Neurospora crassa OR74A: one gene and its partners. The protein of the gene in region 1 interacts with the protein of each later gene in a pairwise test. Links are inferred from orthologs where the notes say so. Each region holds a gene or a part of one and is shown in the gene's direction. Other genes may lie near its edges.

Region 1 (5,939 bases):
AAAGCTATTGTAACCCTTTAAGTTACTACTACTTTTACTCCTACTAAATATAAATATAATTACCCCCCTAAGGTTAAAAGAGAATTGGAGTAGTAGCTTCTATATATATTCCTAGTTCCTTCTACTATTATTCTACTTATTCCTATATACGGATAATTACTAGAGAATATATTAGACTATAGTATATTAATTAAAGAATAAATATATATTTTTAGTATTAAAGCTATTTAAGGTAGTAATGTTGAATCCGACGACGGTGGATATAGAAATTAAAAGAGACGTTATATTAAAATTAGAGAAAACGAATATAAATAGTATTTTTATAACGCTAATAATTATAAATAACCTTTTTATAATATTAATAACGATAGCGAAATTCTATTAGGCGGTAATATTATAGTAAGTAGAAATAACCTTCTTAGTTATATTGCTCCGCTGGGTAGTAATATTCCTAGTTCCTCAAACTTTATCCCCGACTATATTACTCCGCCGGAGGTTTTTGCTTTGAGTTTTAATTTTACTATATTTATGGAGGTACCGGTAATTACTTAGTCCCCTAATAAGTTAGAAGAGATTTCTAAGCCTCCTCCCCCTAATATTACTATATTTACAATTATTTAGTCCTCCAACGAATTAGAAGAGATCCTAGAACCTCCTAACTTCTATAAGTATAAAGGAGAGTATAAAATAGTTAATTAAATTACTAATTATAAATACAATTTTATTAAATTCGAAGGCGAAATTTAAGTTTCCGATTTAATATAAATAGAGTTTGTAGAGCGCTATTATTGTAGGGTTGATGTAAATAATCTTAATGGCTTCTACGAACTATGGATTCTAAATCGATATTCTATTAATACTTCTTTAGATTTAATGAAGAATATTAAAGAGGCTAGAAATTAAATTCTAAAAGATAGTTGTGGTTAGTATAGAATACCCTCGCCTAAATTCGAATTCCCGACCGAATACCTTAATAAATTTCACCTCTCTAAGGAAGAATAATTCCGGAGGATATTCGTCGCTAATAGTTAGCATTAGCAAAACCTACAATTATATATATATTAGGCTATAGTACCCCTCGATCTTCTTTAAGTTATTTTTTTTCTTTCATTTTTATAATATTATCCCGGGTTATTATTTACAATTAATTTTATACGTTGTTTTTATTTAAAGCCGGAGCTAGAGTTTCTTATTTTCTTTTCGCTATACTCTCCTATTGTTATATTTATATTAAGGAATATATATTTTATACTATTATATTGAAATAGTTATAAAGGAGGCGTACTTAGAGTAGGCGAATATTATTAACTACCTATATAGTACCTATACTCCAATTTTCTTATATATATAAGTTAGAGTTTTGGCTTATAATTATTAAAAAAGGATAGAAATGATAGGAACTATAAAGAACCTCCGCTAGGTAGCCCAAATAGGTAATTTAATATAGCGCTTTCTCCCTTACTACTTACCTCTATTAATATAAATATAATATTACTTAAAAATTATTGTAAAATAATTGTAAGACTTTTAGTAATTAGAATATATACTAATTATTAAATAGATAAATATAATTAAATAATTATTATATTAATAAGAATATTAGCCTGCAACTAGTAATTCAAGCGAGTATATATGTTATATTGCACATTTTGTGGCTTAGGTCGCATTATTGTAGTACAATTTGCTGTTGTTATACTTTTGTACGCTGTTGAACGGTCAACTCCGTTTCGTACCCAATACTACGTTAATAGTCGCTGTACTATTAATTAAAACTATACATTGCAAAATAAAACCAATTTTAATATAATAATATTCAACTATTTAGTAGATTACAGTAAGAAACAATACTGTATAAGGATGTTGCAGCCCACAACCCCTGCTCAAGCGTTTTATACTACAAAGGCCTGCTACGCCCACTTTTGTCAGACCCCCCATTCCCTCCAGGGCCTTGTTGGCCCATTCCACCTGCAGCTGCTGAGGTGCCGCTGGAGGTGCTGCTTGCTCTGTACACTAACACTGCCCGCCCGTGCTGAGGGAGGTGACCGCTCTACATACCTCTAAGATTGTAGCTACCTACCTATCACGGCCCCACCCCCGACACTTGAACACACTACGCAACTGACCCGACCCGGCTTCAACAACTCGACGGCGCCGGATATATACGAGGAATCACAGTCAACATGCTCCTGCTCGACTACCAGAACGTCCTGATTCAGGCGGTGCTCACCGAGCGTTTCGCTCCTGGGTATGTTTACCACGTCTCCAGCCCGAACGCGCAGTGCGCCTGTCCGCCCCTGAACTTGCACTGACGACGCTGCCGCCGCCGTCACCGCGCATTCCAGAGCTTCCCCCGTCAACATCGACCAGACTGTCTCCGACTTTGACGGCGTCGTCTTCCACATCTCCACCCCCGAATCCAAGACCAAGATTCTCGTCTCTCTCCAAATTCGATGCTTCCAGGATCTCGTTCGCTACGGCGCTGAGCAGGTCCTCAACCGCGAATATGCCGATCTCGTTGTCCCTCCCGAGGCCGGCTATGACTTTTCCATCCAGGTCGACCTCGAGAACCTCCCCGCCGAACAGGAGGCCCGCGATGCCCTTGTCATGAAGATTGCCTTGTTGAAGCGCAATGCCATGGCCGCGCCCTTCGAGCAGGCCTACCAGGAACACTACGCCCTAAAGGAGGAAGCGTCCAAGTTTACATCCGAGGAGGCGCCACAGGGTGTCCGTGAGGGTGGAGAGGTCAAGGCTATTCACTACCGAGAAGAGGAGGCTATCTACGTCAAGGCCAGCCACGATCGTGTGACCGTCATATTCAGTACCATTTTTAGGGAAGAAACGGACAGAGTATTCGGCAAGGTCTTCATCCAGGAATTCGTCGATGCCCGGCGCAGAGCCATCCAGAACGCCCCCCAGGTCCTGTTCCGCAACGACCCTCCTCTCGAGCTTCAGAATGTTCCGGGGGTGAAGAATACTGGTACAGGCGAGATTGGTTATGTCACTTTTGGTATGCCACATCGTGAAACAAGCTATATCTGGGATTGACTAACGGTAGCAGTCCTGTTCCCTCGCCATCTCACTCCTCAGCGGATGCCCGATGTTATCTCCCATATCCAGACCTTCCGCGACTACTTCCACTATCACATCAAGGCCTCCAAGGTAGGTGCATTGGGAAACATGCTACGCAGAGATCTCCATCTGACATTCCATCCCAGGCGTATATCCACTCGCGTATGCGCAAACGCACCGCCGACTTCCTCCAGGTTCTCCGGAGAGCCAGGCCCGATACCGAAGAAAAGGAGAAGAAGACAGCAAGCGGAAGGACATTCAAGGCTGGCGCTTAAGGAGTTCGTGCAGCGGTTTGTGTATCACGTTACTCTGCCTTTACTTGAAACCCGTCATGTTAGTCTATCGGCAAAGGCGGCCGAAGATGACCACTTACAGCTACCACCAAAGACAGACAATATTAATCACTACCCTAATCATTCCACTCGATTTACATAGTGAACGTTGATCTTGCGGCTTTCCGATATACCTGGCACACCGGAGTTCATTCTAGCCCAAGATACGTGAAGATTGCTTTTGGCTAACTAGTTTCAGCTAGAAATTTCCTATAACCGCCACCGCCCTCAATGCGACCATGGCTTCGACTTATACTTTGGGTTCTCCTCCGGCTTGCCCTCCCACGGAAACTCGATTTCCTCCGGATTCAAATACCAACTCGGATCGCCCTCTGTCTGCGTCAAACTCCATCCATTCCCCAACCACCTCAGCCCATTCCCACTTTTGTCAGCACCCTCATACATCCAGTCCTCCCACCTCGGGCTCCTCAGCGTCTCAACAGCATGCTGCGTCGACCCGGGCCACAGCGCCACGATCCTGTTTCCCGTCCCACCCTCCGACCGATACCAACTCTTGCACTTATCCAGGTACACCGTATCCTTAAAGTAGGCATCCACAAAGGCCACAAAGTCCCGCACTCGTTCCGGCTTGGGCTCCATGGACGCGTAATCCTCCTTTTGTAATTTGCGGATTACCGAGACGATGTAGTCTACCTGCGCCTCCAGGATCCGATTCAGGCTGCCGAACCCGATGGTCGTATTTGGGCCGAACAGCATCAGATAGTTGGGGAATCCGTCGACGGCTAGACCGAGGTAGCTATCGGGGTGTTGGGACCAGCGGGAGGCGAGGGTAAGTCCGCGCCGGCCGATGATGGGGAAGGGTGGGGAGGTGCAGGCTTGGAAGCCGGTGGCAAAGACAATTACGTCGGCGTCGATTATCTGTTTCTTTCCTTCCACAGTGGCGAGCGCGATGCCGGAGGAGGTAATGTGTGAGATGGGGTCGTGAATTGCTGTCACGTTGGGTTGTTGGAGGGCTTCAAGGTAGCCCCTTCCTGGAGTGAGGCGCCGGCAGCCAGGGGCGAAGGCCGGGATGATCTTGGCTAGCAGGTCGGGACGAGCCGACAGCTTGGATTCCATGTCCGCTTTGAAGAAAGCTTGTCCCTCGATGGTCATCGGGTGGCCTGCCATGGTGGAGTTGTGGAGGGAGGTGCCAAAGTCTTCAAAAGCTTTGCGGAATTTGAGGAGGGCGGGGCGTCGGAGCGGAAGAGGGCTTTTTGTTCTTCGGTGACTGGGTATAGGTTGTTAGGCTCTTTTGTTCACGGAGAGGTCCGTGATCTACACAAGATGAAAACTTACACTCGGTTACTTTGGGATCCAGTCCTAGGTCTTTCATGGTGTTATCACCAAAAGCTGACGATATCCAGGTCGGTGATCGTATGAAACATGAGAGCGTCGTTCCTTCGAGTTTCTGGAGCTTGGGAACGATCTGGATGGCACTGGAACCGTTACCCACAACAGCGATCTTCTTGTTGCGGAGGTCATAACTGTAGGTCAGTTAGCACGACACCTTTTCAGGACTGCCTCTGAAAGGCCAGTCAGACAACCTCTTACCTCTTATCCCACGCCCCCGAATGCATCTTCTTCCCCTTAAACTGGTCAATTCCCAGAATATCCGGCCATCGCGGCTCGCTAAGCTGACCTCGAGCCGTAATCAGCACGTTCGCCGAATCGGTAAACACCTCTCCGGTAACCAGATTCATGACTTTGAATTGCCTTTCCGTTCACGTTCTATTAGCCTGTCTGTTCTATTTGACGTGTGTGAAACTGGTCTGAACTTATAACGAACCATTTCTTCTGCCCATCGTCCCAGACACATTCCTCCACTTTATGTGATAACTTGATGAACCTCGTCGCTCCGAATTTCTCAGCCACGTCCTGCAGATATTTCTGGATCTCGTGGCCTGGCGCATAGAGGTTGGACCAGTTCGGGTTGGGCGCAAAGGAGAATTGGTATGAATGAGAGGGGATGTCGCAGGCGACGCCTTTTGTTCGTTTTAGCTGTCGGTTAGTTGATCTGCTTTGGTTTCCTACTCCTGTTTGGGGACCACGACCAGGTCGTACATACCTGGATATGTGTTCACCCACCTTTTTGTTTCTTGCAGTATCAGTGTCTTTGCTTGGTGAATGACTGGCGGTCCAAATGAGTTCATGAGGAAAAGCGTGGACTTACCATGTCCCTCCGACGCCTTCGTATTTCTCATAGACCACTAGCTCGACATTTCGTAGCTTCTCTGGTATTCTTCACAGCACACCCATGTTTGTCAGTATTGAACCGGTGGTACAACTATTTCATCAGCCTAAAGCGGGAGGTAGGGAAGCAACTCACCTAATCGCTGCCCCGATACCACTATACCCAGCGCCAATGACAACTACCCTCAACGGTCTAAGATTTTCCACTACCGTGTCTTTAAGTGTAAACTTTTTCTTGAGGTCACTTCCGTCCATGTGCCCGTTCGTAGTTGTAGCCATCTCCACTGATATCTCTTGACGTATACTTGTTGCGACGTATTTGTTTTGTCAAAGGGTGTAGGTATTAGA
Region 2 (5,326 bases), on another chromosome or scaffold:
CCTGGTAGAAATTCGATTGCGCCATGGAGACCATCATCGCGACAAGATACGGATCCTGATCGACGTCGGCGGGTATCAAATGTTTCGAGCGTAGTGCTTGTAGACCGGCGACAGCGTCATTGGGGTTGAAGGGCGTCTGAATAATCCTAAACAGGTTTTGTCGTATTAAAGCTAGCTGCGACTTGTTGAAGTAGGCTAGAATCGGCATGTTGGGTGTCTGCTGGGGTATTTCAGGCTGCGGCTCCTGCGGGCTGTTGGGTACGTAAAAGGAGTCGTTTGGGACCGTGGGTATTGTTGCGAATGAACTGCCGATGGGTGTCTTCCACAGGCACGGGATGCGCACCGCCTTCCGGAAGACGCGCTGGCCAAAGTAAATGTCAAGCTCGGCGTTCATCTTGGGGTTTGCTAGCCTATCCGGGAAAAAGATGCCCATTGCGTTCTTCATGGCCATGTTTTTGCAAAATACTCGTGTCATGGACGGTTCGTTCCTGATAAGGGTGTGAAGTTGGTCGGTGAGCTGGCGCGCAAGGAGCGAAGGATCGAGCCATTGCCCATGAATAGATTCCGGTACCGGCGTGACAATAGGGGCACCTTCGGTGAACGATGCGCCAAGGAGCGTGGCATGGAGATCTGTCCAGCAAATGGGAAGAACGTAAAGCGATTTGCCAGAATTGTCGTGCATTATGTCGTATATAGAGCCTTCATCGGGGCGGTATACCCGGGGAACCTTTCGTTTCTTTGGGTTGGTCCGTTTCCGGCGCGGCGGCGATGACGTCGATGCATCGGTACTTTGGCTGCTGAAGGCGGGGCTGTGAATTTCGGAGGCTGAGGCCGGGGGTTGTTGTGTAGGGCCCGGCGATGGGCCGGCTATGTCGCGTGAGGCTGACATGGCTACCTCTATCATGGCGCGCAGTTGTCCAAACAAGGTGCCACTGCCAGAAATGAGGGACCTGAAGACAAAAGAAGCCGGGATTGGAGGCGCGCGTCAGCTATGTAGTTCCAGGTTGTTGTAATGTGGATGTAACGTTGGCGCGATGCAGCTATTGCCAGAACGAATGGTCGTCTTGAGAAATAAGAAGTGTTGCCGCGATGATATGATGAAAGAAGAAAAAAGAGCGAAGTCGCAAAATGAAGCGGGACTGGACGTACTCAAATGCGGTCATGAAAGAAGCAAGTGGACGGGAACTATCTCGAAGGGGGGAGAGTGTTCCTGGTCCGTAGGTAGGTAGGTCGTCTTCTTTTGTTGACCTATTCAATGGGCGGAGCGCAGTGCAGTGAGTGGATGCGACAGCTCTGCTAGGGCGGATCGGCAGAGCGTTTTGTGGAGGGAGTGATGCGCGCGTCCACTGCAGTGCACGTTCCCTTTTTCTGGGGTCCCCTTTTTCTGTTGATCCAAGTCAGCCCCACGCACAAAACACAGGTGAAATCACACCAAATTCGCAGCGCCGGTAAAACATGCAAGCAACTCACCTGAAAACGAATGGTGCTTGGAATGATGTTTTGTTTTGGTTTGAGGAATGGAGAAAAGCGATCCAAAACAAGTCGCGCTGGTAACGACTGAGTCACCGTAAAGAGGGGGGAAAAAGCACTAGGATCAAAGTTTGCCTCCTAGTTCAAAAAAGTGGGAGGGGTTTGTCCGGGTTCTTGTGTTTGTCTTTGGGCGTGAAGAAGCGGAGGGCTGGTTTTAATGAACGATTGAAGAAGGCAGTTGTAGGTAGAGGAGAGAACCGTGACGCAGTGAGTGATGTGATGGGACTGGAGAACCCCAAATACCCCTCCATCACCCTTTCTCAGTGGACGGCGCACGACGGCGCTTTTGATTCCGCGTTGGTGCGTACACTACTATCACAGTACCTCTAAGCAGCGTAGTAGCGCTCTCGACTGGTGGTGTGCCTGTCGGGTGTGTGGCAGTCCCCGGCCGGATTTGCGTCGGATGAACAATTGCGCCAACAACAGCCAGCCAAGTCTGGACTGCTGGCTGATTTCATCATCTACGACGCGCTAGCACACGAGCTCCCGTGACTTATTGTCTTGGCATCCCCTCTTGTTTCTTCAATGTTTCTGCTTTCTGAGTCTTCTCCTCTCTCCTTGACGACGGGCCCCCCTGTTGTTCAAACAGGCAGCGGTGGGCGCAGCGCGGCGTTCACGGTGTTGAACTTCGTCCTATCCAACCAACATTCAGGTGTTGGCTCTCTTCCAGGTTGTTGGACTCGACCACGGCGTGAACCTCGGTCAATCTTCTTCCTTGAAAAATTCCGCCATAATGAGTAATGATGGGATGGATCCTTGGAACACCATCTTGAGCATGGAGTCCTGCTCTTTGTCTGGATTCCGAGACACAGCAGCTTAAGTTGCATGGAAAGCGGGCGCTCACGTCGAACGCGGTGGCTGACTACATGACACGTGAAGAGTCTTTGTGTAACTGAATCTTCCTCTGTATACCAATGGAGTGGCATTTTGACTTGTTCACATTCGCTCTCCTCCTTCAGATGATGCATTGTGCAAGACCTTCCGATTCCCCCGGGACTAGGTGGCTCCACTTCAGGCCGCAAAGATCCACTTTATCGGAGTCAAGCGAGCTGCTGCCTGTCCGATGACGAGGCCGGCTCCGGTAACTCTACACGTGATGGGAACCGGGAGTGCTTCATTGACTGTACCAGGCCTCATCCGGAGTCCGGACACAGCCACTGCTGAGCCACAAATTCAAATAGAAAGGTAACGCACAGACCAAGTCCAGCTCTACTGTCACAGAGTCCGTCACAGCGGCACGGTGCAAGCAGCGGTCGTCACCGCCAGCTCGACGTCAGCGCAGGAGAAGCCGCCATCGCCCATCGCTGGCACGCTGCAGGTCCAGGAAGGCCAGCCCAAGTCCAATTGACCCCATCACCCCGCAAGGCTGCGCCATAGAACCCGGACGCGGTCAAGTCAACACGACATCCCAGATTTACCTAACTTCCAACTTGAACACCATTTGCTTAATCTGGTAATAGCTTCATAGAGGGAGCTTGACACCAACCGTCACAATGCCGGTAAGCGCACCCATTCGCAAGCTCCCAACACCCAGCCGCTATGCGTATAGCTTCCCCAAGCTATACCAGCCAGCCAGCCAGCTACCCCTTAATCGTCAGACAAAGCTTCGTCCATGATCGCATCACCACCACCCACAACACCACGAACCGCTTTGCGCCCAATCGCATTTCTTCGCCTCTCGCCTCACCTCACACACAAATTCCCATTCTCAATCTCTCAACTAACGACGCCACTCTCTAGGCCTACAACTCCGTCTTCAACGCCGACCCCTCCCCCCGCCTAATCGGCAACTTCCCTCTCTTCCCGCTTCGCACCAAGATCCGCGGGCCGATCTACCCTCTCCCCTTCCCGGACCCTCCGCTCGCCGCCAACGAGTCGCCCGACCCGGACTCGGAGTCATACGACATTCTGGACGAGACGCTAGCTCTCTTCCGCGCCAACACCTTTTTCCGCAACTTTGAGATCCAGGGCCCCGCCGACCGCCTGCTGGTCTACGGCATCTGGTACATCAGCGACTGTCTGGGCCGCATCAAGCCGCACTATGGCGTTAGGGAGGCGACGAAGGAAGTGAACAATGCGGCGCTGGATGTGAACTTTGCGTTGCCGGGCGATCCTGGGTGGCCTTTGAATCAGGTGAGTTTTTTTGGCGTAAAGGATTTAGGGCGGAGATAGAATACGGTGAATGTGATGGGAGTAGATGTGGCCCGCGGCGGTGAACAAGAAAATGGATGGCAGCTAATAAGTTTGACGCAAAACAGATGTATGAACCCCCCCGCGACCGTCAAGACGCAGAAGTCCTCCGTCAGTACCTGTCGCAGGTCCGGCAGGAACTGGCGCAGAGGTTATTGGCGCGCGTGTACGACGACGAGACCGAGGACAAGCCGAGCAAGTGGTGGTTGAGCTTTACCAAGAGGAAGTTCATGGGCAAGGGACTCTGATGCGATGCCTTCCCTGTTCAGATGGCGTTGCATGGAATCGTTTAGCGCCAAAGTATAATACGTACTCTACACAAATAATATTTCAAGTTTCCTAGAGTGTGAGGGTGTGTTGGGGCGAGCGAGCAAGACTTTCAGTTGTTGTTGTTTTTGCGTGGTCCGGTTCGATCAGGCATAGATCGAGTACACATACACTTGAAACCCGATCATGAGCGACATGGGTTATATCTCCAGTTGACGTTCGATTAGTAGAATTACTGCAGCTCTATTTCGTGCAAATGGTATCTAAGAGCAAACGAGATCTATGCATATCGGTCATGCTGGTTCTCCTAACTGCTACCACTATCAGACTCCTGCTCATTGTTTGCCCGCCTTTCATGGACAAAGCATAATCATTTAAACCCATGGTCGCCTCCACTCCTCCTCGGCTGGTCGAGTCCACCTACTGTAAGCGAGCCTCGAAACGCTCTAACTGTCTTTTCCTTTCTGACTTTCCCTCGACCTCATTGCTTCCGTGGAAACCTCTGTGTGAGATCTTCCGATGCACGGGGAGAGAAGTGGCATCCTTGAACTCCCATAAATAACTCTTTCCGACCAATCCACTCATGCCGAAGCCGGCGTCGAAACGCTCTCCTCCACCTTTCTCCTCTTAAATTTGCCCTTGGCCGCAATCTTGCCCTCCGCTGGCTTCGCTCTCCATCCAGTAAAGATATATCCATCCGCACCACCGCGCTCCGTCATCAACGGATGCGTCCTGCCCGGCAACACCTGCCACCTCCTCGCCCTGCTAGTCTGGATGCTTGTGCCCAGTAACAGCGTGGGGTTGAGAGGGAACTGCTCGCTTCCCTCCCACTTTTCCAGCTCTTCGGCCGTCTTGCCCTGGATCTCCGCCACGTGTCCGCTGTTCCACGCCGTCCTCCTGGCAACGCTGAAGCAATCGGCTAGTGTCGCGAGAGGCTCGAGAGAAGGGGAGTAGATGGCCACGGGGGCGCCGCCGGCCAAGAGGGGAAGGGCGTGCTTGAGGATCGAGATCGGGTCCATGGTGCTGGCGCAGACGAGGCCGGAGAAGTTGCCGGCGCGCGTGCTGTCGACAATGTGGCGAACGCGGGCGTAGCGTCTGCGCTTGCGGTGGAAGTTGCCGCGGCGGCTGGGCTTCCAGGTGCTCAAGGTCTCGGGATCGGCAGTGAGGGGAGGGGTCGAGTACGAGGTGTCGAGTTCGGGCTTGAGGAGCTGCAGCCAGCTGAGCGTGAGAAGGTGGTTCAGTAGCGGGTGCGGCGGGTGTTGTGGGGCGGTGACATCGAAGTTCCAGTAGTTGAGGAATGAAAGGTTCGGTTGGCTGGCGCCGTGAAGGACGGTGATGG
Region 3 (5,529 bases), on another chromosome or scaffold:
ACTTGGAAACCCGTTTCTGCATCACCCGACAAACCACTGCTGCTATCGAACACCCGCACAGCACCGGCAGAACAAGAACCACCACCGCCCTACTATAGTGCTATTGGTGTTGCATAAGGGGGGAGTTCATAGTGTACTAGACAAAATCTACTTCGAATAGTCCTAAAGGTTATATGGATAAATCAAAAGGAGTTAGTTGGATTTGCTTTGGCATTTTGAATGTTAGAGATGGCGTGCCCAAGGTTAGATTGTACATTAGTTAGCCATGAAAACGCATAGGAAAGTTGACACGAGGTCTCGAACTAACAGACCAACCAGTACTAGACTGTATGTATTGCATTCATGAATGAAGCCTTGAGAGAACAAACTATGATATACGATGTGACTTCTGCCCCGAGAGCTTGGAAAAAGGCAGGGGGCACTGCGACGAACTTGCGTACAAATCGCTCGAAAGGAAATCTCCAGCTTCAAAGCTAATTCCACTCCCTTTCCGTCCCTACCTACTGGGTAAACATTCTCCTATTTTTCACCATCTCATCCACCAGCCCAACTCCCGCTCTGACTCCATCAACAACCATGACCTTCTTCCCCCTTTCCTCGCCGTACTGCTCAATCGCAGTCCGGCGAATGATTTGCTCCAGTCCAGCCATGCCCGCACATCCCATCACCACACACTCCACATCCCCAGCCTGCAACAACTTCTTGGTCGCCTCGGCCAGTTTCGCATCAATCACCTCCTTGGAAATATCTCCATGGAAATCCCCCGCATCCAACCCCGTCGTCTGCACCCCGGCAAACTTTGCATTATTTCCCCCTTTCTCCTCTTGACCCAAGAATTTCTTGACTCCCACAGTCAGGTGCTCCTCCCAGTACTTGCCCGTCGTGACAATGCCCCATTTCTTCGTCGGGCCCGTGAGCAGCGACAGGCAAGTGAGGACGGATGCTTCAAAGATGCCCGTGACGGAGAGGGGAAAGCCGTTGGATGAAGCGAGTTCCGAGAGGCCGGGGACGAGTTGGTGCACGGAGTAGCAGCATACTAGGACGGCGTCGTGGTCTTTGAGGAGTTGAAGGTTGCTGCTGAGGTCTTGGAGGACGTGGGTGGCGGAGGTATCCAGGTCGGTGCCGTTGTTGATGCTGGCTGGACAAGAGGTAGGGGCTGTGTAGTAGGTGATTTTGATGTTCTGGAGGGGGGTGTTAGTCCACGTTTTCGGTTATTAGGGGTGGAGGAGAGAAGGGAAGACAGACGTCGGGGAGGTTTAGGCTGGAAATAGACTTTGCCATGCCATCGGTCATGGACTTGGAGGAGTTGGGGTTGAGGATCAGGATCCTGATTGGTTCTTGCTGGGCGGTAGTCATGTTGACGAAGGAAGGGGGGTGAGTGAGTGAGGTGAATCGATAAATGGTCTGAGAGGGAAATAGTCAGGTCTGAGTCCATTTTGGGAGGTATCATGAAGTACTCAGTTTGAAAGATTGACGATGGTAGAACCTGAATGGGAACAACCTACTAGTATCGTAATGAGTTGGTAAAATACCGATTGTATCGACGGCCTGAGTGAGAAAGAATAAGGCAACAAAGGGTCTGATAACCACAAATGAAGAATCAAAAAAAGAAGGGACGGGAAGAACCAATATCAATCTCCACTCTCAAATGCACAATCCATCCCGTCTGATCTCTCACGATGCCCAACAAGGTGCATGTACTACTGAAGGTACAAGTGCGAGTCTCATGCGGGGTATCACGTGGGTACCCTAATGCCTGCCACTTCCTTGGGGTCCAGAATCCTGCCAAGACCCGCTTGTCATCGGCGCTCGTCCTGGTCAAAATAATCGAGACCTTTGACATGATACCTTGGCTCCTTGGGTATACTGCTGACTCTCAAGTTCTAGGCAATTACAGAATGAAAATGTGTAAATAGGGCTCTAGCTGAGGTCTTTTTGAATTGTTATATTCCCTGTCACGGTCTTGCAGCGGTCTTTTCTATGATCTTGACGTCTAGTGAACTGGTTTACCTAGCCTGCTCGCTCGTCTCCTTTATTTTGGCTCAGACGAGCGGCGCCCTGTTTGAAGGAAAGCTTGGCAGTTAGCGAATGACCCCACATATCGATGCTACCCCCCCAGCTAGGCTACCGCGCTGGACTCCAGCTAATTACGGTGCCGTAGTCCACTTCGCTACCGTAACCCGGACAGGGCACCGACACCACTGCACCGACCGACCGACGGGACCACCGACACTTGGTTCCTGTTGATTCACCCGCGGGAGCTTTCCATTCTAGCTCCGATATACACTCGATATTCGAAACCCCGACGAAGCTATTCGCAACTCCATTGAAAGTTACCAAACCAAACAGCCGCCCAGCATGGCCAACACCGACGCTCCCATTGGTACGTCAGCTCTTCTCTCCGCCAACAACCCCTTATCCATCTGGTGTCTCGAGCTCAAGCTACCTTGACGACCACCAACACCACCACCACCCACCCATCTGCCTGACCGCGTCATCACCGTCGCCATGGCAGCTGTAGCCGTCGGACTCCGTCCTCAATCACTTCCACTTCACAACAACAAAATGAGCACAGCGCCCAGCTAACACTTCCCCCCTCGAACACAGTCCTCGATGGCGGTACCGGCTTCCTCAAGGTCGGCTACGCCGCCCAGAATTTCCCCGAATTCCAATACCCCTCGATAGTCGGCCGCCCCATTCTCCGCGCCGAAGAAGCCAAATCGCTTTCCGACTCCTCCGACATTGTGATCAAAGACATCATGTGCGGTGACGAGGCCGCGGCCGCCCGTACCATGCTCCAAATCAGCTACCCGATGGAGAACGGCATCGTCAAGAAGTGGGACGACATGCAGCACCTATGGGACTACACTTTTCACGAGAAGATGAAGGTCGATACGCGGGGAAGAAAGATCTTGTTGACGGAGCCGCCTTTGAACCCGTTGAAGAACAGGGAGCAGATGACCGAAGTCATGTTTGAGCGCTACGACTTTGGGGGTGTCTATGTCGCTATCCAGGCGGTGCTGGCATTGTATGCTCAGGGTATGTCACCGCTCCTTTACACGGCGACTTGAGGAAACAAGTAGCTGACAGACAACGCGCAGGTCTCTCCTCTGGTGTCGTAGTCGACTCGGGCGACGGTGTCACGCATATCGTTCCTGTCTACGAATCCGTGGTCCTCAACCACCTTACCCGCCGCCTCGATGTGGCCGGCCGCGACGTCACCCGCAACCTGATCGCCCTCCTTCTCCGCCGCGGCTACGCCCTCAACCGTACTGCCGACTTCGAGACCGTCCGCCAGATCAAGGAAAAGCTCTGCTACGTCTCGTACGACCTCGAGCTCGACAAGCGCCTGTCCGAAGATACCACCGTCCTCGTCGAGAGCTACACCCTTCCCGACGGCCGCGTCATCCGCGTCGGCTCCGAGCGGTTCGAGGCCCCCGAGTGCTTGTTCCAGCCGCACTTGGTGGATTGCGACCAGCCGGGTATCGCCGAATTCCTCTTCAACACCATCCAGGCCGCCGATGTTGACGTGCGCTCCTCGCTATTCAAGGCGATCGTCCTGTCGGGTGGTTCCAGCATGTACCCCGGCCTTCCAAGCAGACTGGAGAAGGAACTGAAGCAGCTGTGGTTGACGCGCGTGCTGGGAGGCAACCCCGAGAGGCTGAGCAAGTTCAAGGTCAGGATCGAGGACCCGCCGAGAAGAAGGCATATGGTCTTCTTGGGTGGTGCGGTGCTGGCGAATATCATGGCGGATAAGGAGAGCATGTGGATTACGAAGCAGGAGTGGGAAGAACAGGGCGCGAGGGTGTTGGAGAAGTTGGGTCCTAGGTAAGGGACTACCGAGGGTGAAGCTGTTTAGACTACAATAGCAGGCGATATAATGTTTTCCGTTGGTAGGTAAATAAAGGATAATGCGAGAGTTTGTTAGAGCTTGCTTGGGCTGGTGTAATTTTGTTGGTCCCGACAGGAGAAATCGAACAATGGCCTTGTGTCAAGAGTCATGGTCTTTTGGGATACCATGAAAGAAGTCCCCAATATCACAACGGCGCCAACATCAAGCAAGATGCGGACAGCGGAACGGGACGGTCCCGGACAAACATCGGGAAGACGGAAAGGTGAAATGGTCCACCCCCACTTGTTGGACATCGATACGGTACGCTAAGGCTGGCGGCGATACAGTGGCTTATCAGAGCTGACACACTAACAGAAGCAAACATCATCAGATCTCTGCTAGCCTGACATGTCGCTGGTGACGAAAAGGGTAATTGATGTTATTGTTTTCCTTCGTGTGTCACTTTGTTCTTGCCTTTGCGACAACAATATCAATCCAGCTCGTCGTCAAAATCCCCAGACCTGTCGTGTTCCCAGATCCTCACCGGCCATCTTTACTCGATTTCTCCAAACTCTCAAGCCCGGCTTCCATCGCCCAGCTACCGGCCACGCTAACACACCGTCTCCGCTCATCCATTCCCGAGTCTCACAGTGGTTTTCCCCCCGGGCCCGTGCAGATCGGGTACGGCTCAGATGACATGCCTCCGAAACCGAAATGTGAGTCGATGAACTTGATCCAATTCCTTCATTCAAAACATCATCCAGCCCTCCCAGCATGATCCCTTCAGTGTGTATCTTGTGCCCGGTTATATAGTTTATTTTCTCCAAATTCCCGAGAGCATCTTCAAACACAAAACAGACGGGCGGTGACTGCCCAGCCTCTCACTACCAAGTCACTACCTTGCATACACCAACCTCACTCTTATAAACATACAATCACCCCCCATGATGTACGGCACAAATAGAGCGAGAAACCAAAAGGCCGAAACCAGCTACCGCGGGTGTCAGTATCGCCTTTCCCCCCATTCATCTCTCATATCCTAGTCCAGTCCGACACTAACCGCCCTCAGTCTCAGACCAGCGTAGCAATGCCGGCCCCCTAAACTACCAAACCAAGGTCCGCATTACCGACCGCTACAAAGTCATCGGCTTCATCTCCTCCGGTACCTATGGCCGGGTCTACAAAGCCACCGGCCGACAAGGCCAAACCGGGGAATTCGCCATCAAAAAGTTCAAGCCCGACAAGGAAGGTGAAGCCGTCGTCAACTACACGGGCATCTCTCAGTCGGCGGTGCGTGAGATGGCGTTATGCTCCGAACTGCGAAACCACGCCAACGTTATCCGGCTCATCGAGATTATCCTGGAGGACAAGTGCATCTTCATGGTATTCGAGTACGCAGAGCACGATTTGTTGCAGATCATCCACCATCACACGCAAACGCCACGACATCCGATCGCGCCAGGGACCATCAAGTCGATAATGTACCAGCTGTTGCAGGGGGTGCAATACTTACACACCAACTGGGTATTACATCGAGACTTGAAGCCGGCGAACATCATGGTTACTTCTTCCGGAGAAGTGAAGATTGGCGATCTCGGACTGGCCAGGGTTTTCAAGCAGCCCATCCACAACCTCTACATGGGCGATAAAGTGGTCGTGACTATATGGTATCGCGCGCCCGAGCTGCTGTTGGGGAG
Region 4 (5,359 bases), about 920 kb from region 1:
GGTGGGTTCAATCTTCTCGCTGTTGAAACACCAAAAAGTTAACTAGGGCTGAACTCCTTTTTCTCGCTCTTTGTGACTTTGTTGTGAAACATAAAGATATGAGAAGGACAAAAAGAGAGAGAAAGAGAAAAAAAAAAGGTGCCTATACTAACACACGAATGTCCCTTCTTTTGAATTATTTCGGCCATACAAACAGTATCATCCCATCACAGGCCTTCCCACCTTCTTCGTCCACCCTTGTCTCCTCGGCGAGGCCATGTCGACCTTTGACAATGTCTCGATCGAGAACTACCTGATGGTTTGGCTTGGACTCGTCGGCGGCTGTGTCAGCCTTTGGGTCCCCAAGGAAATGGCCTTGGAGCCTTCCTCCGCCTAGAGGAAGTGGGAGTAGCGCGGTGTATGTTGTACATGCAGCTAGCGGTGCGTCTTCTGCATTGTCCTTCGAGAGGGCGAATTTTTCATCCATCCGCTTCATTGCGCCTTCATTTTTCGTCATCCTTCCCCACCGCGAGCTGGTATCTTAAACAAGAAGCAAATGCCATAGTGGACACCCATCAGTCCTCGTCGCTGTCTTCCTCCATAGCAACGTCCGAATCGCTCTCCTCCTCTTCTTCCTCCTCCTCCCGTGGCCGCTTCGTTCCCCGGTTCTCCTCTGCCGGTGTGGTTGTCTCCGTCCCGGGAGGCTTGGCTGGCGAACCTTGTGGTGCTGGACTCTCGGTATTCGTAGTAGGGGCGCCTGGTACTGGGGCACTAAAGATACTCTGTTGGACGGTGGTGAGGGCCACGGCGGCGGCGGCCTTGGGTGGCACGAGAGTACCGTCGAGTTTGGCGATGATGTTGGAGCGGCCCTTGGCGTAGGTGATTTTCTAGGCAAACCCAAGTTAGCATGTGAAGGGCTACCGCTGAAATATTCAACCCGAGAAGACCTACCATTTTGCGGCCCAAAAACTCCATGCCGTCAAGTGACCTCATGGCCTGTGTTGCTGTCTGAATGTCCCGGTAGACAATGTGTGCTTGCCCGCGCATCTTCATGGTCTTGAGAGCGACGACATCGAGGACGGGGCCGTAGGTGGAGAAGAGCATGTATAGTGCTGTACGGAGGTCGTCCTTCTGGATCTTAGCTGAGGGGAGGTTCGTGACGTAGAGAGTCTGGTTTGGCGGGTTCGAGACCACCTTTTGGGGGAGGCCCGCGGGGGGAGCAATACGCGTAGCCATTGCCGCGTAGGAATCCGGGAGTTGATGCTGTTGTTGTTTGTCCAATGCAGGTTGTTAATTGTCGCGTAGATTTTCAGTATATCGTAGGCGCCTCGTGGTAGGGGTTAATATCGTCAATTGTCTCGTCGTCGTCGTCGTCGTCGCTCGGGTGTATGATGTTCAGTGTTCAATCATGAATTCAAGTCGCGGCGGCGCATGCGATGTCGACAATTCAGATGCTGGTCCAAAAATTGGAGACAGTGGCCAGCCAGCCTACGAACCATCGAAATCGGTACACAAACCCCACGGGCGTGGGTGCAGCTTGTTGGAGGTACTGCGGTTGCGAGCAAAAGTAAAACCCCCTTGTCAGGTATCTTGCACGGACCACCACAGCCAGAGCTTCGTGAGCACTGTGTGGTCGACGACCTGATCCACGGGTTTAACTTACCCATCTCACCATAGTAGGTTCCAGTTCCAGGTGGGTCAGCCCCGGCCGGCAGCAGGGCACTCTTGGCGGCGTCACCCACCCGCAGCCAACCCCACCACCATACGCTGCCGCAACGGTGCCCCTGGAGCCTGGCGGTCTGACCTCATTTCAGGCGTCCAGCCCGCTGTAGTTACGGAGCTCTCCCGCTTCCCGTTCCCGGGCACAGCTTCCCCTTTCCAATTACAACATCCGGCTCCGACACCACCGAACCAAGACATTCGATCACACTCTCCGTCATCACCGTCCCCGATTCCGAGCGCGGTAGTAGAGAGCTATACTCCTATCGCATACCTTATTTCTACACAACACCAACCTAACAACCCACAATGGCTGCTCCCGAGGTCCACCATCTCTTCCACCACCCCATCGCCGACCACTCCTTCTCGGCCGATCGCCAGACCTTGGCCATTGCCCGCGACACCCAGGTCGAGCTCTACGGCAGAGTCGGCAATGCCTTCAAGCTCAAGGATGAGCTCAAGGGCCATGACAAGCTTGTCACCAGCGTCGACATTGCTCCCAACACCGGGCGTATTGTGACCTGCTCTCAGGGTAGGCCCCCCCTTTCGCAACCCAGGCACCCCATAATGCCACCATCACAGTCAGCTAGACTAACAACCAACCCCAACTCACAGACCGCAACGCCCTCGTCTGGGAACCCTCCCCCACCGGCTACAAGCCCACCCTCGTGCTCCTCCGTATTTCCCGCGCCGCCACCTTCGTCCGCTGGTCTCCCTCGGAAGCCAAGTTCGCCGTCGGCTCCGGCGACCGCGTCATCGCCATCTGCTACTTTGAGGAGGAAAACGACTGGTGGGTATCCAAGCACCTGAAGAAGCCGATCCGATCCACCATCACCTCTGTCGCCTGGCACCCCAACAGCGTTCTTCTTGCTGCCGGCTCCACCGACGCCCACGCCCGCGTCTTTTCCGCCTTCATCAAGGGCACCGACCAGCGCCCCGAGCCGAGCCCCTGGGGCGAGAGATTGCCTTTCAACACGGTCTGCGGCGAGTTCCTGAACAACTCTGCCGGATGGGTGCATTCTGTTGCCTTCAGCCCGAGCGGCGACGCTCTGGCGTTTGCGGCGCATGACTCCTCCATCACCGTCGTCTACCCCTCTGCGCCCGAGCAGCCGCCCAAGGCGGTGATCAGCATCAACACGCAGCTTTTGCCCTTTATGAGCCTCTTCTGGAACGGAGAGACTGAGATCATTGCTGCGGGTTACGATTGCGAGGCTTTCCGCTTCCAAGGCGGCGAGCAGGGGTGGCAGCTGGCCGGCACGCTGGAGAAGGCCAAGGCCGGAGGAAGACCGGGTCTTGGTGACGAGGACAGAGAGGAGTCTGCGCTGAACATGTTCAAGCAGATGGACCTGAAGGGTAAGGTCAGCAAGGATGATACCATGTTGAAGACGGTGCATCAGAATACGGTTACTATGTTGAGGCCCTTTGAGGAGAGTGGTGGACGGGTGACCAAGTTTAGTTGTGAGTGTTCCCCATTTTTACATGACCTGTGGTTTCAAGAATTATTGATGCTAACTTGACACAACAGCGAGCGGTGTTGACGGCAGAGTCGTCATCTGGCACACCTAGATTTCCCCTCGATGAAAGAGGGTTGCTGCACACATTGGGAAGCAGAAAAGCCAAGCAAGCAAGCGTAACATCTAATGTTAATGGAACAAGAGTGAATGGCTGATAATGAATCAGATTCAAAGTCAAGATCCATCAATGTCAGTTTAGCGGGTAACTTTCCCGGTCTTTGATTTCTGCCCTATCCGTGCTTCCCGGTATCCGCCAAAGTGATTGATTGTCCATTCACCCATTGTACAGAGACTTATCATGTCACTTCTCCACAGTGAGCTATCCGTTTGTCATGACCGCCCGGCCAATTTTGCAAGATATGTATGTGTGAATCAGACACACAGTCAAGAACAAATACAGGTTCAATACATACAAAGCAATTCATTGACTTCCGCTTGTGGCTTGCCGGACACATTCCGATTTGCCGTGATAACTTCCATAAAAGGATCATAAGAGAACTAATAACCGGCAGCAGGAGAAGTGCATGTCACAATTCATGTCCATACCTACCATTGTTTTGTCCCTGTCGATTATTTATTCCATATCCTTTCGCTCCTCATCCAGACCTTCAGCTTCAAAAGCAGTTTACCATAAGTAATCAGCCGTCCGTCACTCCGTCCCTTTCAGCTATCCAAACAAACTCAACTTACCTCGCTTTGCCTCCATCTTCCCTGCCTGCCTACTTCGTTGTCTGGTTAGAAGAAGAAACAGCGGGATCAGAAGAACCAAACAACAACAAACTGAACCATGGACCACAACAGTTCCTACGACTACTACCCATTCAACCACCCCCAACACCCTCTGTACTTTAACCCCGTATCTCCTGTTCATGTTCCTCCTCCTCCTCCTCCTCCTCCTGGTCATCCAGAACCAGAGGAACAAAAAGACTACCACCACTACGCTCCCGCATCACCAAGCGACTTTATTTACAACGCCAACTCCTCTGTCAACACCACCACCGCCGCTAGCATCCTTCATCATCATCATCATCGGCATCCTTCCCGCTCTTCTCGATCTTTATTCTCCAACGAGCCAGTACTCGCCTATCCACCTCGGACAGTGGGGTCTAGGTCTGTTGAGCAATCATTTTCGAATTACTTACCTGGGGTACTGGAACCAAGTCTACCACGACCAGCACCAGGTTTCGAGGAGCATCGACGCCAGCGGCAATCAACGATGATGACCATGGGGCCGGGACCAAGTAAATCGGTACCTTCTCCACTGTCACTGCCCCTCAGTAGGGAAGGAGGAAGAAGTGGTAGGAGGAGGATGAGCGGGTTCAGTTCCGGTGAGGAGACAGTGGTGGTGATTAAGCGGGAGGAGGAGGAGGAGGAGTCGGTTCCTTGGGTGTCGATACCGTTAGAGCAGAGGGTGAAGAGGTGGGTGCCGCGGGTGCCACAGGGAGAACAGGGAGAACAGATGAAGCAGGTGGAAGAAGATGCGGTGGGAGGTGTGGTGGGAGGTGTGGTGGGATACGTGCCCCTAGGGACGGAGGAGAGTGGGGTCAGTGGTAGTAAGACTTGGGAGGAAAGGGGGGAAGGGGTGGTAATGGAGAGGGTTATGATGGTGCCGTCGGTGGTGTCTAGCGTTGGTGCCAATGCCGGTGTGGAAATGGTGGCAGGGATGATGGGTACGGCGATGGGAATGGGAATGGAACCAACAATAACGCCAAAGATGGGCCTGTTCAAACCCATCAGGTGGGATGGACCGTCTTCTGCTTCGAGGGCTAAGGCTAAGGCAAGGAGGGTACGTGCCTGGGAAACCATGGAAGAACAACATGGTGATGTTCATCTTCGACGGACTCCTCCTGGAATTCAGAATCGAAGCAGCAACAGAGACCGAAACGACGAAACCGAAGACGAAAAAGTTTCCGACGCCCCCATCTCTCCCCATTCTCGCTCCCCAAAGAGATTCAAGACCTCCTCCTCCCATTCAGGATACATCCTTCGTCCAGGTCCATGTCCAGCAGAAACAAAAACAGACACAGAAATAAAGCAAGAACCAAGCCTCTCACCTCCACCATCCGCCGTTTTGGCTCAGATTCCCATGTTTGATTCCTTCGATTCCCTTCCACGCAACAACAGTGGCTATGAATCCTCCGGTCATG

What was found.
Region 2: the proteins of NCU03050 (region 1) and NCU09572 interact in binary tests that used the Saccharomyces cerevisiae proteins (3 or more experiments, as listed by UniProt). The link is inferred for Neurospora crassa OR74A from reciprocal best matches to the Saccharomyces cerevisiae genes ARC35 and ARC18.
Region 3: the proteins of NCU03050 (region 1) and arp2 interact in binary tests that used the Saccharomyces cerevisiae proteins (3 or more experiments, as listed by UniProt). The link is inferred for Neurospora crassa OR74A from reciprocal best matches to the Saccharomyces cerevisiae genes ARC35 and ARP2.
Region 4: the proteins of NCU03050 (region 1) and NCU02781 interact in binary tests that used the Saccharomyces cerevisiae proteins (3 or more experiments, as listed by UniProt). The link is inferred for Neurospora crassa OR74A from reciprocal best matches to the Saccharomyces cerevisiae genes ARC35 and ARC40.

Annotation. Positions count from the first base shown.
Region 1 is NC_026501.1:8,291,222-8,297,160, forward strand, and holds NCU03050 (ARP2/3 complex 34 kDa subunit), read left to right. Parts: upstream 1-1,938; 5' UTR 1,939-2,180; coding exon 2,181-2,245; intron 2,246-2,342; coding exon 2,343-3,007; intron 3,008-3,058; coding exon 3,059-3,159; intron 3,160-3,215; coding exon 3,216-3,344; 3' UTR 3,345-3,347; exon of another isoform or gene 3,348-3,478; intron 3,479-3,563; exon of another isoform or gene 3,564-3,600; 3' UTR 3,601-3,629; downstream 3,630-5,939. Other genes in the region: NCU03049 (flavin-binding monooxygenase), read right to left, coding at 3,630-4,522, 4,698-4,885, 4,953-5,114, 5,188-5,383, 5,467-5,486, 5,572-5,640, 5,728-5,870.
Region 2 is NC_026507.1:961,745-967,070, forward strand, and holds NCU09572 (ARP2/3 complex 21 kDa subunit), read left to right. Parts: upstream 1-2,769; 5' UTR 2,770-3,023; coding exon 3,024-3,029; intron 3,030-3,270; coding exon 3,271-3,663; intron 3,664-3,788; coding exon 3,789-3,968; 3' UTR 3,969-4,303; downstream 4,304-5,326. Other genes in the region: NCU09573 (hypothetical protein), read right to left, coding at 1-950, 1,150-1,163; NCU09571 (tRNA (adenine-N(1)-)-methyltransferase non-catalytic subunit trm6), read right to left, coding at 4,569-5,326. UniProt on the Saccharomyces cerevisiae protein: Functions as a component of the Arp2/3 complex which is involved in regulation of actin polymerization and together with an activating nucleation-promoting factor (NPF) mediates the formation of branched actin networks.
Region 3 is NC_026505.1:6,356,794-6,362,322, reverse strand, and holds arp2 (actin-6), read left to right. Parts: upstream 1-2,155; 5' UTR 2,156-2,358; coding exon 2,359-2,383; intron 2,384-2,607; coding exon 2,608-3,039; intron 3,040-3,101; coding exon 3,102-3,832; 3' UTR 3,833-4,215; downstream 4,216-5,529. Other genes in the region: NCU17050 (hypothetical protein), read left to right, coding at 1-117; NCU07170 (hydantoin racemase), read right to left, coding at 501-1,181, 1,246-1,356; stk-8 (serine/threonine-protein kinase prk1), read left to right, coding at 4,777-4,834, 4,908-5,529. UniProt on the Saccharomyces cerevisiae protein: Functions as ATP-binding component of the Arp2/3 complex which is involved in regulation of actin polymerization and together with an activating nucleation-promoting factor (NPF) mediates the formation of branched actin networks.
Region 4 is NC_026501.1:9,214,733-9,220,091, reverse strand, and holds NCU02781 (hypothetical protein), read left to right. Parts: upstream 1-1,783; 5' UTR 1,784-2,007; coding exon 2,008-2,230; intron 2,231-2,313; coding exon 2,314-3,156; intron 3,157-3,223; coding exon 3,224-3,264; 3' UTR 3,265-3,555; downstream 3,556-5,359. Other genes in the region: NCU02779 (hypothetical protein), read left to right, coding at 197-376; NCU02780 (U2 small nuclear ribonucleoprotein B), read right to left, coding at 555-866, 931-1,215; NCU02782 (hypothetical protein), read left to right, coding at 4,000-5,359. UniProt on the Saccharomyces cerevisiae protein: Functions as a component of the Arp2/3 complex which is involved in regulation of actin polymerization and together with an activating nucleation-promoting factor (NPF) mediates the formation of branched actin networks.